2 linked regions of the Arabidopsis thaliana genome follow. The protein of the gene in region 2 interacts with the protein of the main gene of each other region in a pairwise test. Each region holds a gene or a part of one and is shown on either strand. Other genes may lie near its edges.

What was found.
Region 1: the proteins of AT5G62890 (region 2) and SSI2 interact in a protein complementation assay, tested with the Arabidopsis thaliana proteins (one large-scale study listed by BioGRID).

What each region holds. Positions count from the first base shown.
Region 1 is NC_003071.7:18,117,266-18,125,022, forward strand, and holds SSI2 (Plant stearoyl-acyl-carrier-protein desaturase family protein), read left to right. Parts: upstream 1-2,607; 5' UTR 2,608-2,841; coding exon 2,842-2,981; coding exon of another isoform or gene 2,982-2,985; intron 2,986-4,088; coding exon 4,089-4,593; intron 4,594-4,669; coding exon 4,670-5,230; 3' UTR 5,231-5,624; downstream 5,625-7,757. Other genes in the region: AT2G43700 (Concanavalin A-like lectin protein kinase family protein), read left to right, coding at 1-1,234; AT2G43720 (FAM136A-like protein (DUF842)), read left to right, coding at 6,028-6,150, 6,422-6,559, 6,852-7,034; AT2G43730 (Mannose-binding lectin superfamily protein), read right to left, coding at 7,556-7,757.
Region 2 is NC_003076.8:25,240,215-25,249,312, forward strand, and holds AT5G62890 (Xanthine/uracil permease family protein), read left to right. Parts: upstream 1-2,933; 5' UTR 2,934-3,324; exon of another isoform or gene 3,325-3,480; 5' UTR 3,481-3,508; coding exon 3,509-3,617; intron 3,618-4,134; coding exon 4,135-4,232; intron 4,233-4,330; coding exon 4,331-4,507; intron 4,508-4,630; coding exon 4,631-4,731; intron 4,732-4,857; coding exon 4,858-4,933; intron 4,934-5,016; coding exon 5,017-5,076; intron 5,077-5,179; coding exon 5,180-5,364; intron 5,365-5,526; coding exon 5,527-5,623; intron 5,624-5,737; coding exon 5,738-5,824; intron 5,825-5,910; coding exon 5,911-5,969; intron 5,970-6,058; coding exon 6,059-6,150; intron 6,151-6,244; coding exon 6,245-6,483; coding exon of another isoform or gene 6,484-6,534; exon of another isoform or gene 6,535-6,642; coding exon 6,643-6,861; 3' UTR 6,862-7,163; downstream 7,164-9,098. Other genes in the region: AT5G62900 (basic-leucine zipper transcription factor K), read left to right, coding at 8,658-8,904.

The DNA of each region.
Region 1 (7,757 bases), on a different chromosome or scaffold from region 2:
TGTACATGGCGGCGTTGATGTTCCAAACCTGGACTTGGGAATACCAACATTTCCTCCATATCCCAAGGAAAAATCTCTGGTTTATCGGATTGTTTTGGTGACCAGCTTGGCATTGGTTCTCTTTGTTGCGCTTGTTGCATCAGCTTTAAGTATCTTTTTCTACAGGAGACATAAAAAGGTTAAAGAGGTTCTAGAGGAATGGGAGATCCAATGTGGGCCTCATAGGTTTGCTTACAAAGAACTCTTTAAAGCCACAAAAGGTTTCAAACAACTTCTAGGCAAAGGAGGGTTTGGTCAGGTCTTTAAGGGTACACTTCCAGGTTCTGATGCAGAGATTGCCGTTAAACGAATTTCACATGATTCAAAACAAGGAATGCAGGAATTCTTGGCTGAGATATCGACAATTGGTCGGCTTAGACACCAGAACCTAGTCAGGCTTCAGGGTTATTGTAGGTACAAGGAGGAACTCTACTTGGTTTATGACTTTATGCCCAATGGAAGTCTTGACAAGTACCTCTACCACAGAGCGAATCAAGAGCAACTCACTTGGAATCAACGTTTCAAGATCATCAAAGACATAGCCTCTGCACTCTGCTATTTGCATCATGAATGGGTACAAGTTGTAATTCATCGAGACATCAAGCCGGCAAATGTCCTGATTGACCACCAAATGAATGCAAGGCTCGGGGATTTTGGGTTGGCTAAGTTGTACGATCAGGGTTATGATCCTCAGACATCTAGAGTTGCTGGGACATTCTGGTACATTGCACCGGAGCTCATAAGAAGCGGAAGAGCAACCACAGGGACAGACGTCTATGCCTTCGGGCTGTTTATGCTAGAAGTCTCTTGCGGTAGGAGGCTGATAGAGCGAAGAACAGCCTCCGACGAGGTCGTCCTAGCTGAATGGACATTAAAGTGCTGGGAAAACGGAGATATTCTCGAGGCAGTCAATGATGGAATCCGTCACGAAGACAATAGAGAACAGCTCGAGCTTGTTTTGAAATTGGGAGTGTTGTGTTCGCACCAGGCTGTAGCAATTAGGCCAGACATGTCTAAGGTGGTCCAGATCTTGGGTGGTGATCTGCAGCTTCCAGATAATCTACTCGATATAGTCAAAGCAGAGAAGGTCAGAATGTGGTCTGAGACATCTGAGAGTGTACTTGGTGTTTTGACATCACAAGGGTCCATTGGTACCTTGACGTTAACGGAACCTTTTACCTCCCGGGGACGCTGAGACGTGATGCTGAGTTCGGTCGTGAAATGATATATGACATGTTTGTTTGTAAATATTTTATGTTTTCGATTGATGACAAAGGAGTCAGAAAGGACACTTGACCATCACGGAAGCGATGACTTCCGTCGGACGGTAAAAAGTGATGGTCGAGGTTTGGTGAGAAATCTAAAAATGTGACGGTGTTTGCTTGATAAATATCTTTATTTTGGTGATTGTATTGAATGTATCGTTTTGATTTCTGTTTATACTTATATCGGCGGTGGAATAATTACACATGACCTGAAAAGTATGCGTTTGTGTTTACTTTTATGTTGTAGTACTTGTTGTGTTTTTCAGCTATGAAAAGTCTACATATTTCTTCTGTGTGCTAACTTATTGGATAAATTGGATATTTTTAAGAGATCTAATGTTTACACAAACGTATGGTGAACACCAATGGGGATGTTTACACACACTTATGATTTATGACTGAAAGAGATGTTAATCGAAGTATATACTCCATTGATTAATGTTAATCACCGAAAGAGATGTTAAACAAGCATTAATGTTTACACTTAAATGTGATGGAACGAAAACAAAGAATAAGTTTAAATTTGTTGTCATGGTCTCAATGAAAAACCGAAAACGTTGTGCTATCAAATTACTCAAAACGTTGAGCTAGCTAAACTTGGCAGAAAAGTATCGAATGATGCTAAAATGCAAAAAACCATTAAACCCAATGTACGGTTTATAGAGTTTTCATATGCCAAGTGGGACATCCACGTGGAGATCCTATGCCACTTGTCCCCTCTCTGTCTCTTTCATGCTTCAAACTTATTTGGCTTTTACGTGGATTCTCACGCCCGAGTACGTCGATTATTACAAAACTCACATAAATTAATATAAACACTTTATATTTTGTTTTGACCTTTTTACCCCTTCTCATTGCTCATCAATTTTCATAGATCTAATACCAAATTATCACACATATAGGAGAGTCATCTAACAATTAGCACAAGTCATGAGTGAAAGAGACTAAGCATGAATCATAATCATCTTTGACATAGGTGCTCAAAAGTAATCAATTTTTTCAACTTTACTATTCAACTCAATAAAAGAATTTTTAATCAACAATTCTTTTCAAGATGTATCCCTTTTTTTTCTTGCAACTTTTTCTCAACTATATTAATATTTAGTATACTGCTACTTAGCTACTCGATGTTTTGATGTATCATTGATCATTATTGTTGACTAATAATTATTTGATACAAATATTTTACCGACATATGTAAGAACAATAGTGTCAAAATTGAAGCATCTCAAGGGTATTTTAGAACAGATACCCAATTTATTTATTTTTATAATTTGTCACCTTGTTTTTCACACACAAATGACAATATGACGTCATTTTCCTTATTAGAATAATTTTTTTAACAAAAAAAAGAATTATTTATTTTCGTCTCTCTTATTGCTTGCTACGCTCAACGCTGTGCATAAGCATTCTCTTTCTGTGGACGAAACTAAACCTGAGAGAAAAAGCCAGAAGAACCAAACTCAGACCGAGAGATAGAGATTGAGGGAGAGCTCTAGCTCTGTAGAAAAGAAGGATTCATTCATCATATCCAGAAATGGCTCTAAAGTTTAACCCTTTGGTGGCATCTCAGCCTTACAAATTCCCTTCCTCGACTCGTCCGCCAACTCCTTCTTTCAGATCTCCCAAGTTCCTCTGCCTCGCTTCTTCTTCTCCGGCTCTCAGCTCCGGCCCCAAGTCAGTCTCTTTCTCTCCATCATCGTCTCTCTTATCTACTTTCGATTCTCTCTGTTTCATCTTTGTTTACTGTGTTCTGGGTTTTGCTTGTTCTTATCGATATTGGATCTACGTTTTCTCGATTTTGTTCAGTGTTATTTGCTTACATTTGCTTAATCTCGAGTGTGATTTCAATAAAAGTACGTTCTTTTAATCTGGGTTTATAAGAATGGGCCATCCTCTGTTCTCAGGTGATTCATTAATGCTCTTTTTCATTGAATCTGATGTTTGTTGATTGTTCCCTATTATTCTCACGTTTCTCTGAGATTGCCCCATCTATCAAATCGTTGCCTTTACCATATTTATTCTGCATCAGATTATGTAGATTGCTCGTTGATTGGTTGTTAGTTAAGATTAACACTAGTTATCTTCTTTATGGTATAATGATCTTTAGATTGGTTAAGACTTAACAGACATTGAGGAAAGCTTCTTAGTCAAAGAGAAAGTTTTGTTTTGTTTTCTCTGGTTTAGTAATTTTTAATGGTGAAATGTTTATCCACTTGTTTCTTACTCATTTGATGAGTTTTCTCTTTTGTATTGACAAGAGATTCTTGAACGTATCAGTTTACGTCTGTTTATCTTTCTTCAAAGACATTACGTTGGATATCACGCTTCGTGGCCTTTCTCTATGCATGCGTACTTCGTGGCTTCTCTCTTTAGTTTGCGTCCAAAATTTTCACACTTTTCTGTAATTTATTATTCATTCTTTCTCTGTTTTGAAGACATTTGGCTCTTTATCTTGTCTTTGTCTGATCAGTAGTCACTACATTTGTTTCTTTCACAATCTTTCTTTTTTGCTTCATATTGAACTGCAAGACCAATCCATGAATGCAAATATAAAATATTGTCTTACGGTTAACCATCTCTAAGTGTTTGCTAGTCATGAATTGTGAAATTGTTTCGCTTCAAACATAGAATTAGTTGATTTGGAAATGTAGACATGAATGCTTATCTAAATACAATAAACTGTGTTCTTGTTTCAGTTGTGTATCAGAGATGAGACCTTGACTGGTAATTTCAATGGAGCATAATTAAATGCTAATGATACTTATTTTCTGGTTAATGCAGGGAGGTTGAGAGTTTGAAGAAACCATTTACGCCACCCAGGGAAGTGCATGTTCAAGTCTTGCACTCCATGCCACCTCAAAAGATCGAGATCTTCAAATCTATGGAAAACTGGGCCGAGGAGAACCTTCTGATTCACCTCAAGGATGTGGAGAAGTCTTGGCAACCCCAGGATTTCTTGCCTGACCCTGCATCAGATGGGTTTGAAGATCAGGTAAGAGAGTTAAGAGAGAGGGCTAGAGAGCTCCCTGATGATTACTTTGTTGTTTTGGTGGGGGACATGATCACAGAAGAAGCACTTCCGACCTATCAAACTATGTTGAACACTTTGGATGGAGTTAGGGATGAAACAGGTGCTAGTCCTACTTCATGGGCTATTTGGACCAGAGCTTGGACTGCAGAAGAAAACCGACATGGCGATCTTCTGAATAAATACCTTTACTTGTCTGGTCGTGTTGACATGAGGCAGATCGAAAAGACCATTCAGTACTTGATTGGATCTGGAATGGTGAGATAGTTTCAGGCAATTATCATGATTTCTTGGTTAATATAACTACCTAATCGCTTTAACTTATCTTTCATAGGATCCGCGGACAGAGAATAACCCCTACCTTGGCTTCATCTATACGTCATTCCAAGAAAGAGCGACATTCATCTCTCACGGAAACACAGCCCGCCAAGCCAAAGAGCACGGGGACATCAAACTAGCCCAAATATGTGGCACAATAGCTGCAGACGAGAAGCGTCATGAAACAGCATACACCAAGATAGTTGAAAAGCTCTTTGAGATTGATCCTGATGGTACTGTCATGGCTTTTGCAGACATGATGAGAAAGAAAATCTCAATGCCTGCTCACTTGATGTATGATGGGCGCAACGACAACCTCTTTGACAACTTCTCTTCCGTGGCTCAGAGGCTCGGTGTTTACACCGCCAAAGACTATGCAGACATTCTTGAGTTTCTGGTTGGTAGGTGGAAAATCCAGGACTTAACCGGGCTTTCAGGTGAAGGAAACAAAGCACAAGACTATTTATGCGGGTTGGCTCCAAGGATCAAGAGATTGGATGAGAGAGCTCAAGCAAGAGCCAAGAAAGGACCCAAGATTCCTTTCAGTTGGATACACGACAGAGAAGTGCAGCTCTAAAAGGACAAAGACAAAAACAAAAACCTATCCTCCCGGTTCCTCATTTCATCTGTCTGCTCTTAAAATTGGTGTAGATTACTATGGTTTTCTGATAATGTTGGTGGGTCTAGTTACAAAGTTGAGATGCAGTGATTTAGTAGCTTTGTTTTTCCCAGTCACTATATGTTTGGTCTTTGGTCCGTTAGCACACTTGTAGTAGTTAAAACAGTTTAAGTATGGTCTGTACTCAGTCTTCCTCTTCTCTGTGGAGTTTTGTTTAAGTTCAGGTTAGTTTTGTTTTGTCTCTCTGTTTTTTCCCCTGTTTCTCGACAAACAACTCATGTGGCTTTTTAGCAATTTTGATGGATGATCATGATGAATAATTGAATATCTTCAATGTCAGTTTACATTTAACTAATTGGTCAATGTTTGACGATCATGCTTAATGCTTATCTCTATAAATTAATGTAAAGTCAATAATAATGAAACCCTTGACAAAAAAAAAGTGAGAAGTTGATAGATTTTGAAAGAAGAAACAGAGACGGCTGTTGAGGTAACTTCATGCTTGAGCCAGACTAAAGGAGATGATAATGTTCGTAAATGGGCCCAATTTAAAAGAGGCTAGGCCCAAATAAGGTAGTGTTTCAGAGATGGGAGGCGGTTGAAGCTACCTATGAGAACTTGGGGAAGGAGTAAAAAAATGTTCTCTTTTTCAGTCTTTTTTTGTCTAATTTTTTTGCAAGTAAAGATTCCAAACTTTTTCGAGTGAATCATTGTGAGAGCAAAGTTGAACTAATAAATCAACTCGCCGGGAAAAAATGGATCAAACGGCGGAGGAGAAGATGGTGAGAGAGAGGATTAGAAAGAAAGTTAACGAAGTCAGTTCTGCGTCGCAGTCTCTTCTTTCTCCAGTACAAGACCACATCAATTTCACCCTTCAAGTTCGTCTCTTTCTCTCTCTCTCTCTCAAACAAAAAAAAAAGTTTTTGAAAATTTTGATGTCTTCTTTCTAAAATTGAAGAAACAAAGTGGATTTTTCACAGCTCCCTAGACTCAGTTTTCTTTCTCCTAGTTGCTAAATTCCTAAAGTTATGTTCTCTGTGTATACTCTTCGAAGAAGCCATTGGATATGTACTTGGACTTAGTTTGCTTACTGCGTAGTTTGAGATTTATATAAGAGTTAGTTATTTTTGTGCTTTTGTGTTGATGCAGAAGGCATATTTCAAATGTGCATACGAGTGCTTTGATAGGACAAGAACACACGCTGAGATTAGTCGATGTGCAGAGAGTTGCAGTGTTCCTATCACAAATGCACAGAACTACTTTGATAATGAGATGTCGGTGTTCCAAGTGAGTCTATTTCTCAACTTTATTTCCAGTTACAATTTGAGATTGATACAGCAAAATTTACAAATGCCCATGAACGTTGGAAAATTGGTGATTGAAGTCTTAAAGTCTTTTTCTTGTTCTATTAGAGGTTGATGGATGATTAGTGATTGGTCTGAAACTTTTGTTTTTCAAATGTGTTATTATGAAGATAGTTTAGTTTGTTGTCTCCTGGATTCTCTATTACATGACAACAGCGCTTGGGTTTGAGTACTAGATATTCAAGATGGTGTTTTGGTTTTACTGATGAATGTAGGAGAGGTTGAATAGATCTCTTGTGGTTTGTCAAGACAAGTTTGAGGTTGCTAAGCAACAGAAGACGAGAAGTGAAGCGGTAAATGATTTGGAGCATTGTGTAAACCAAACTGTTGATGAAGCTGTGAAGACTCTGCCTAATCTCGTCTCAAGAATGAAGAAAGCTTTGTCAATCACAGACTGAGCTCTCCAACGATTATAAAGAGGGACTCTTTTCTGATACTTAGAATTTATGTTTCATTGATCTCATATATAAAGGTGAAAGTTGTGACCCAAGGATTTCTCCCTTGACTTTTTTTTAATAAAAAAACAGAGGATTTCCGCAAGCCGTTTCTGGTCCTCAAACTTTGATACTCGTTGCCGCTTTGATTCTTTATACCAAACAAACTGCTTAGTTTGGCGCTTTGGCTGGTTACAAAGATACCAAAAATAATCGAACCACTAAAAGAAGACACTACTACATGTTAATAGTCACAATAACATCAAATAAAATAAAATTATGCAAAGAACTTGAAACGAAAAAAATTAATAAAATTGAAACATCTTACGTAATTGAAAAGATGGAGTATTATTAAGAGTTGTAACTAAAATAAGACAAAAAAAATGTGTCATTCCTCCATCGATGCGGCTTTAATTTAATTTAAAGAACAAAAAAGCTATGTCAAAGGACAAGAGCTAGATATCGTTCAAGACTAGCATTTAATCTTAATCCAAGAAAACTTTTATCAGGCACAACATAGCTCTTTTGAAATCCAACTTGGAAAATATCCGGTCTTTGAGTTTGGGCTTATAACGGATGTGCATAACAGGAATACCATCCGCGATCGTCGGGATTTGATTATGGGCGAATGCATATAGAGGATCCCATGCTTGATTGAGAGTGGGCTTGTTATCGTACGTGGGATAA
Region 2 (9,098 bases):
GTAAGGATAACACTATCAACGCGTGTTAAGAAAAGTAACACTTTTGAACTTCTTTTTACCATTGACAAATTTTAATAGTTACAACCATGTCATTGCTTTATTTAACAATTTTAAAAAGGAAATCTAAAATGTACATAAACCTTTAGCTAATTTACAAATATATCATATTCTTAATGCATCTACAACAACCATATTATGAACTCTAAATACTAGGATTTGTAACCGGATTCGGTTTATTTGGACTACAAAGAGTAAAAATGGACTTTGTCCATCTCATCTAGCCAATGTTTTATAAGATTCTATATTGGGTGCATCATGCATGTGTCTCTCTTGCTCACACCCTACATCTACCCATCGTTTCAGCCACAATTATGTATATATTTTTTTGTCTTCAACATTTTAGCTCATATGCACCAAATTTTCATGAAAATGTTTGTTTATCAATCATATTCATCATGTGTTGTTAGCCATTAATTTCGATGAGATTGCAAATCTTGAAAAAAAAAATGGAATTATGTGGGGGAAAAAGTAAAGAATGGCACATGAAGAGAGTTTTGCGTAATTCCCAAAAGTAAAGCCAGAAAGATTTTTCTCCCACCCCATGTGCTTACTCTCCCCAGTCCCCACTTTTTCTTAATTAAATTCATATTTCTTCCATTTTTATTTTTCGGCTTTTAATTTCTTAGCATACTTTTAAAAAAAAAATATTGTCACACTTTTTAGGCCGATTTTGACTGAGTTACACAGGTCAATAATGCTCCCAATTCGGCGGACTATAGTTATTTTAGTGGACATTTGTGTTAACTAATTTTGTGGCAAAAAGAAACTCGGAACAAATTAAACCATAACTGATTTAGACTAAATTATATAATGTAATGGCCATTATGTATTAACTAAAGACAAAAGTAATACTACGATCTACGATAATACAAAAAAAAAATTCAGAATATCGCGTCATTATCAACTTGACACCAACTTGTGAGTCTCCCAAACTCAATGATTATGTGGTCATTATCGGTGGTGTTTTTAAAAAATACTATGAAAACTCGCTCTCACTAATATCAAGTGGCTTACACACTTGATTGACTAATCAATAGTTTATCACTACTACTATAATGTTTCAGGCTAGATTTTCCATCACGTGCCAAAAAATTCCTTCAAACAATTTAGCAAGCTAACCATCAAATTTAATTACGAATTTTTTTCTTTCATATCCACGTGGCGGATATTCAAACTTAATTATGTGTAACATATGAATGACGTAAATAATCTATGCACATCTCGTTTTACTGTTGTGTGTTGCTTTAAAGGCTATCATGGATAACGTGTGTATATGACCTTCGAGAAAATTTTGAAGAGATCCATTCAACAAAACATGCATGACATTTTGAATATATCCCAATTATTAAAGACTCAATAATTTTCAGAAGTATATTTTGGGTATAAACAGGTAACCGTACGTGTTGCTACACTTGCTATTGTCCATCTATAATGTGAAAAATATCAATTTAAACATTACTGTTTTTATGTAGTTTTTAGTTCATGTAGTATTTGATTATCTGGAGAAGAAGAAAAAAAGATGATAAATAAAAAAATTGTCGGCAATAGAAAACTGAGTTTAGGTCAAAATAGTTATGTACTATAGTTATTACCGACGTAAACACTGATAAATTGAAAACGATGCATCACTGGTTTTTGACAAAATGTCGAATTAGAACAAACATGACTCAGTGTATTAGAAAGTCAAAATATACACATTTCCTCTTGAATAGTAGTATTAGCTTGATAACTTTGTTTATCTTAATGAAATCGTATTAAAGAAGTTTAGTGCCGAGATTAAATCTCGAGTCCTATCACTCTATCAGGCACTAGAATATATAATGTCCCACTAAATTCGATAACAAATTATCTTTAAAGTTAAAGTATCTTTATAATTGTTTTTATATATGGATCACGGGACTACAAGAAAAAAAGTAGACGTGACAATTATCTTTTCTGTGTTTTTTTCTCGTTATCTCTAGTTTTGTTTGATGCGTATGTATATAATTTGGACAATACTATAATAAAGTATGCTTAATAAGATTCTCCAATCGTTTTTATATTATTCTTAATATAAAATCAAAAGAGATTGATGATTTCAAATGATGCCTACAAAGAATAACATCCGTGTCGTTAATAGAATTCACAAGGAATTTATATATTCTAATGTACATTCGACTTGAAATCAAAATCATATGGACATTAAACAAAAAAAAAAAAACTAGAAAAGGATTAAAAAGAGTAAAGTAAAATTTTGATGGTTCGAAATTAGACCAAAGCGTATGAAACATCATCTTTTGAGTACCATATATTTTGCAACTTCAACTAATTAAGAGTGTAGTATAAGCTGGGAGTTTTGGAACTCAAACATCATAATCCATTCCATCATCTCTAAACTTGGGAAAAAATCCCACAGCTACCGTATTATATTTGGGAAATCGTATAAACCAAAATAAGAAAGTTGTTAATTTTTTTTAACTATAATTAACCCGACACTTAGAAATGTGTATCAAAAAAGTAATGCAAGAATTATCATTGACAAGTTTCAACAACAGAATTATTGAAAGATTTACTTTATTTGAACAAATCTCACTATTAACTTTGTTTTTGTCAAGCCTCTAGAGATAGGTTAAAACTTTAACAAACTTTACTTAACAAGAAAAGACTATGACTTTTCAAAATGCAATAAAAATACTTTAAAGAAGAAAAGATTCCTCTCGTCTCTTCCTTTGTTCACATCACTTTCATCTTTATTTTCTTTATTAATTAATCATTTATTACTCCTCTTTCAAAAACAAACATTTTTTATTTATAAAAAATTCATACGGCGCTAATTTCACCACCGCTCTTCCTAATTGATTCTTCAAAATCCATGATTACTATTGACCCCCAAACAAAAATAATATAAATCTGATACTATTTGGTTAGCTTTAAGCATATAATTCTCATCTATAACTCCAATCACCAAATCAAGAACCGCCTTTAGTTAATAAATTGTTCATTAATTTTGCTAACAACAATATTTGTCCACATTACACGTTCCATTCATAAAAAAATTGACTCCAATATTAATTGTATTTTTTTACACCTCGAGTTTTGCAGAAAAATAAATAAAAGCTCACATTTTTATTTTCTCCCTCTCTCTCTCTCTGTGTCTGTGTATGTGTGGCTTTACCTTTTGTACCTAAACCTCTCACACTCTCTCTCTCTGGCTTGCTGTTTACTCTCATCGTCTCCTTTACTTCATTCGTCTTCTTCCTCTCTTTCCCACAAGCTCCCATTGATGTGAGTTTCTTATCACTTTTCTTTTTCCGATTTGTCAATTCCTTTTTTGCACTGATTTGTGCTTCGCTTACACATTGCTAGTAGATTCCCCGATCTGGGTTTTTTCTTATTCGTGTTCATCATACTAAAGTTTGGTGCTTTTTTGTGTTTGTGTAGATAGAGAGAGAGATTTAAGGAAGGAATCATGGCAGGGGGTGGAGCTCCAGCACCCAAAGCAGACGAACCACAACCACATCCTCCTAAAGATCAACTTCCCAACATTTCTTATTGCATCACCAGTCCTCCTCCTTGGCGTGAGACCTTCTTCCTACTTGTTTTCTGATTCTAAGTTTTGAAATTAAAGCTCTTTGATTTTTATTTCGAGGTTTTTCCGGCTTTATCTGTCGGTGGTGTGTGTAGATGTTAGGTTTTTTTCTCTTTATTCGGCTTTGTTCTTCTTAACAATGTCTCGACCTGAGATTTACTCTTGTTTTACTCGTTTAGACCTTTATTTTTAGTAAGATTTGTATTCCCAGTTTGCTTTTAAGCTGGAGATTTTCTTTCCTAATTTGTTGCATCTGTGGCAAATTTGTGGTTTTCTTCTGTTGTTAACTAATCTCTGGGTGGGATGCTTGTGAACCGAATATAAGCTTTGTTTGATGTACCAGTTTTTTACAATGTCGGAAACCATTATCTCTTACATATGTTCAATCACATTAGTCTGTGCTTCTATCTTCTTTTGAAACATACAATTTTTGGTGTTTGCAATGAGTTCCTTTGGAATTCTGCAGTTTTTCATAAAGACTTACATTTTTCATGCTTGTGTTTCAGCTGAAGCTATTCTTCTTGGATTCCAACATTACCTTGTGATGCTTGGGACAACGGTGCTCATACCTACTGCTCTTGTTCCCCAGATGGGAGGTGGATATGTAAGGCCTCAACGATTTAACTTGTAGTAAAGAGGAAGATGAATCAAATGATGTCAGTGACTGAAAATGATTTTGATTTTCTATTGTTCTAATTTCAGGAAGAGAAGGCAAAGGTGATCCAGACTATTCTCTTTGTTGCTGGCATCAACACATTGCTCCAAACACTGTTCGGTACTAGATTGCCTGCTGTTGTTGGAGCTTCCTACACATTCGTGCCAACAACGATATCCATAATCCTCTCTGGCAGATTCAGTGATACCTCGAACCCTATAGATGTATGATTACTTCCTGCTTTATCATTGTGAAATGGGAATTTTTTCTTTCTTTGATTTCATCTCTATGGCCCTTACTTGGTGCTATTATGACAACAAAGAATATGTTTAAATTGCTTTGTTTAGCGCTTTGAGAGGATAATGCGGGCAACCCAAGGCGCCTTGATTGTTGCTTCTACCCTGCAGATGATTCTTGGTTTCAGTGGTCTCTGGCGTAATGTTGTTAGGTTAGTCTCGAGGAAAAAATGGTCTCAGACATTCGATTTGCTTACACAGCAATAGATTTCTCAGACATGTCTTCAGAATTACAATGACGATGTGGTGATGTAATTTCTTTTGTATTTCATTTTCAGGTTCTTAAGTCCTATTTCAGCTGTTCCACTGGTGGGTCTCGTTGGTTTTGGGCTGTATGAGTTTGGTTTCCCGGGGGTAAGTCTACTCTATATGAGCACTTACGAGCAGACCAGAAACTCTTATTTCTTTTAGTTGTTGATATCCTTTTTACATTTTAGGTTGCTAAATGCATAGAGATTGGACTGCCTGAGCTTCTTATTCTAGTATTCGTTTCACAGGTAATCTTTTTAACTTACTTACAGATTAATCCTGTCTAACTCCCAAAATCTTTTTTTTTTTTTTAACTTACCTGATTTCATGTGTTCATGTTTCCTGTTACAGTACCTGCCTCATGTGATCAAATCAGGGAAAAATGTGTTTGACCGATTTGCTGTGATATTCGCGGTGGTGATTGTGTGGATCTATGCTCATCTTCTTACAGTTGGTGGGGCCTACAATGGTGCTGCACCAACTACTCAAACAAGTTGCCGGACAGATCGTGCTGGAATCATAGGTGCTGCCCCATGGTAAGTGGTTACAACAAAGCTCAAAATATGTAGCTCCCAAAATACCATTTCCACTAAAAATTTCCAGTTTAAACAGAACAAAAGAACATGAACGAATAGAGTATCAGAAGATAAATGTGATCTCATTGGATTCGTTGTTAACATTAGTTTCTTTGTACTTAGGATAAGAGTTCCATGGCCTTTCCAGTGGGGTGCCCCATCGTTTGATGCTGGAGAAGCTTTTGCAATGATGATGGCTTCTTTTGTTGCTCTAGTTGAGGTCTGTGGTTATCTTCTTCACATTTTAATCTTTCAAAATATAATGATTATGCTCTGTTGTTCTGTTTATTCATTTTGGTTTCTTGTTTATTCTGTGTCTGGCTGATCTTTAAAGTCAACCGGTGCTTTTGTCGCGGTGTCAAGATACGCAAGTGCAACGATGTTGCCACCTTCTATTCTCAGCCGCGGTATTGGCTGGCAGGTAACTCAGCTATACTTGAAGTTATAATGTTGCTGAATCGATATTGAAAGAATTCTGAGGTGATTATGTTTTGTTTTGTGAATCAGGGAGTTGCGATTCTGATATCAGGATTGTTTGGTACTGGTGCTGGTTCCTCTGTCTCTGTGTAAGCATCTCTGAGATTTACATGTTCTGATTTGATTACTTTCTCTGGATATTTTGGTATGAAAGTTGATTTTTCTCTCTTTTGTGCAGAGAAAATGCCGGACTATTGGCCTTGACACGAGTTGGTAGTCGAAGGGTTGTCCAGATAGCTGCAGGCTTCATGATATTCTTCTCTATTCTCGGTTAGTTTTGTTCTATTCTGTTTTTAACAAATAAAAGGAATTACTTTTGTTTGAAATTTTATCTGTACTGATGAGATCCATCCTGTTAATGCAGGAAAATTTGGAGCTGTGTTTGCTTCAATTCCTGCGCCCATCATTGCTGCTTTATACTGTCTCTTCTTCGCATACGTGGGAGCTGGAGGTTTGAGTTTCCTTCAATTCTGCAACTTAAACAGCTTCAGGACCAAGTTCATCTTAGGTTTCTCTGTCTTCCTGGGCTTGTCCATCCCTCAATACTTCAATGAGTACACCGCAATCAAAGGATATGGTCCGGTCCACACTGGGGCTCGTTGGGTATGTAGAACCAAGTCACTGTTATTTTTGCTTCTCTTTCCATTGAAATAGGTTTATGGTAGAATGATCTATTAAGGTCCCTAAAACTCCATAGCAAAGATTCGAGTTTAGCATGGCCTGAACTAATGAAACAATCTTATTCTCTTACATATTTGACAGTTCAACGATATGGTAAATGTCCCGTTCTCCTCAGAGCCTTTTGTTGCTGGAAGCGTCGCCTTCTTCTTGGACAACACACTGCACAAGAAAGACTCTTCGATAAGGAAAGACAGAGGGAAGCATTGGTGGGACAAGTTTAGATCTTTCAAAGGTGACACAAGAAGTGAAGAATTCTACTCTCTACCTTTCAATCTCAACAAGTACTTCCCATCTGTCTAAAAGGGAAGAGAAGAGCAAAAAAGATAACTGGAAAACAAAGAAAATGGTGAAAACTCGAGTTTCGCCATTGTTGACTTGGCCTCTGTGTCGTGGTTCGTTTGTTCAGTTCCTTTCACAACTTTGGAAACTTTAAATATCTCATCACATTCTATAGTCTTATTTACAAGAATGATGAATCTTCTTAAAGAGCATTGTTGTTTACTCTCTCTCTAATGCTTTTGTCTTTGTAAATCCGAGGGAACAGAAACACTACTTTGTGATTTTGATTAGTTTCTAAACAAATCTTTAGCTTAATTTTTCTTTTTATATGTTTCTCACTCCAAAGTCTTGATTTAGAAGCTTAGGAAACCTGATTGGTTGAACTTTAACGAGAATTGACATATAACATTTAATTTCAATAGATAATTACAATTAATTAGTTGTTTTTTCTTATTAATTTGGTCATATGTGTAGAGAAAAAAAAGGGAAAAATGGTCATATAAAATAGAGCGACCTTTCACTCTTGCGTGAGGTTTTTGTTCTCTGATCAATAAAATAGTATAGAGAGACATTAATAAGGCAACTTTTGTATGTTATCATCTAAATTAATGGACACGCAAAAGTTAAGATTACTTTGTTTTGTAAGGCAGATCGATTTAATTCCGTAATTAAGTAAGTTTGTTGAATAATTAACGATTAATACGACACAGGCTTTCAGGAGATCGAGATAAAGTGTACAGTAAGCATGTGAATAAGGTTGATTGCACGAGGGGAATATTATTCTTACTTCATTTTTGGTTGTCATTTTCCTTATTTTAATTTCCACAAAAAGCTCATCATTGCTTAAGAAAAATATGATTTATAAAGTTGCTTTTTATTTAGTTGACAAAAAAAAAATTTGTTTGTTTATTATTCTGCAACTATTGATCTTTACGTATTGAATTGAAAATTTGAATGTTTAAATTATATAACTACAAATGTGTTTTTGATCATTTTTATATTATAAATTATAAACAGCTGCTACATTCTATAATTTGTTAGTTGTAGTATTTACTTAAAACAATACAACTATACTAGGAGAAAAATGAACACAGAACATAAAGTAGGAAATTGGATGAAAGTATTATCTAAATTGTGGTCCAATAGTTTGTGGATACTTTAACTTTAGATGTATGAAGACTATAGACTTTTCCTAGAGATTTATATATAGGTGGTGTATATATACACTGATTTACACATATTAAGTTATGTGTATATCTAAAAAAGATAGTGACTAATTTCTGAAGTAGAGATTTACTATGAATTTCTTCAGAGGTTGAACCTAAGCTAAATGATATAGCATGAACAAGAATTTAAATGTTAATAAATAGATTCGTAGTATCAAAGGCTTAAAGATTTAACTATTATTTTTGCTTGGAATCTACTTTTCGTGAAAGATTCCAGCCAAGCAAACACTTGGGGCTCTGTACGGACACTCTAAAACATAATAATCATTTAAGCAATTACGATCATTATTCTATCTCTTCTTTCTTGTTTGTTTGTTAAATGTTAAACCATTTATCGAATAATGGAGATACATATATAAATAAAACCTCTTCCACACCACTTTTTTTTTTTCCATAGAAACGAAAAATAGTTGATGATGACAAAATGAAATAATAACATGAAAACTTATACTTATAGTTATTGTATAGAAATAAAATGATGAGTATATATAATGAGTAGAGAAACTATTAAATCAGTATAGACCCCTCACCTACGCTTTACTCTTTCACTCCTCTCTCTCCTGCTTTGCTCCGCCGTGAGAGGAGAAACAAATGGGGAATTGTCAAGCGGCGGAGGCGGCAACGACGGTGATACAACAACCAGACGGTAAATCGGTTAGATTTTACTGTACAGTAAACGCGAGCGAAGTGATTAAGTCCCATCCCGGTCACCACGTGGCTCTCCTCCTCTCTTCCGCCGTACCTCACGGTGGCTCTCTCCGCGTCACTCGTATAAAGCTTCTTCGTCCTTCTGATAACCTCTTGCTCGGTCATGTTTATAGACTCATCTCCTCCGAAGGTATATAATATATTAATCACAATTCACACAGAACATGTTTCAGTTTTAAATTCAGGAAAGAACAGAACCCTAACTTATAGGGTTTTCTTCAATTTGTTTCTTCTGCTTCACGTTTGATTACAATCATCATATACGAAGTGTATAAAATTTACAAATCAGAACTAAAAGCTTTAATTTTCAGGATTCTTATCAAT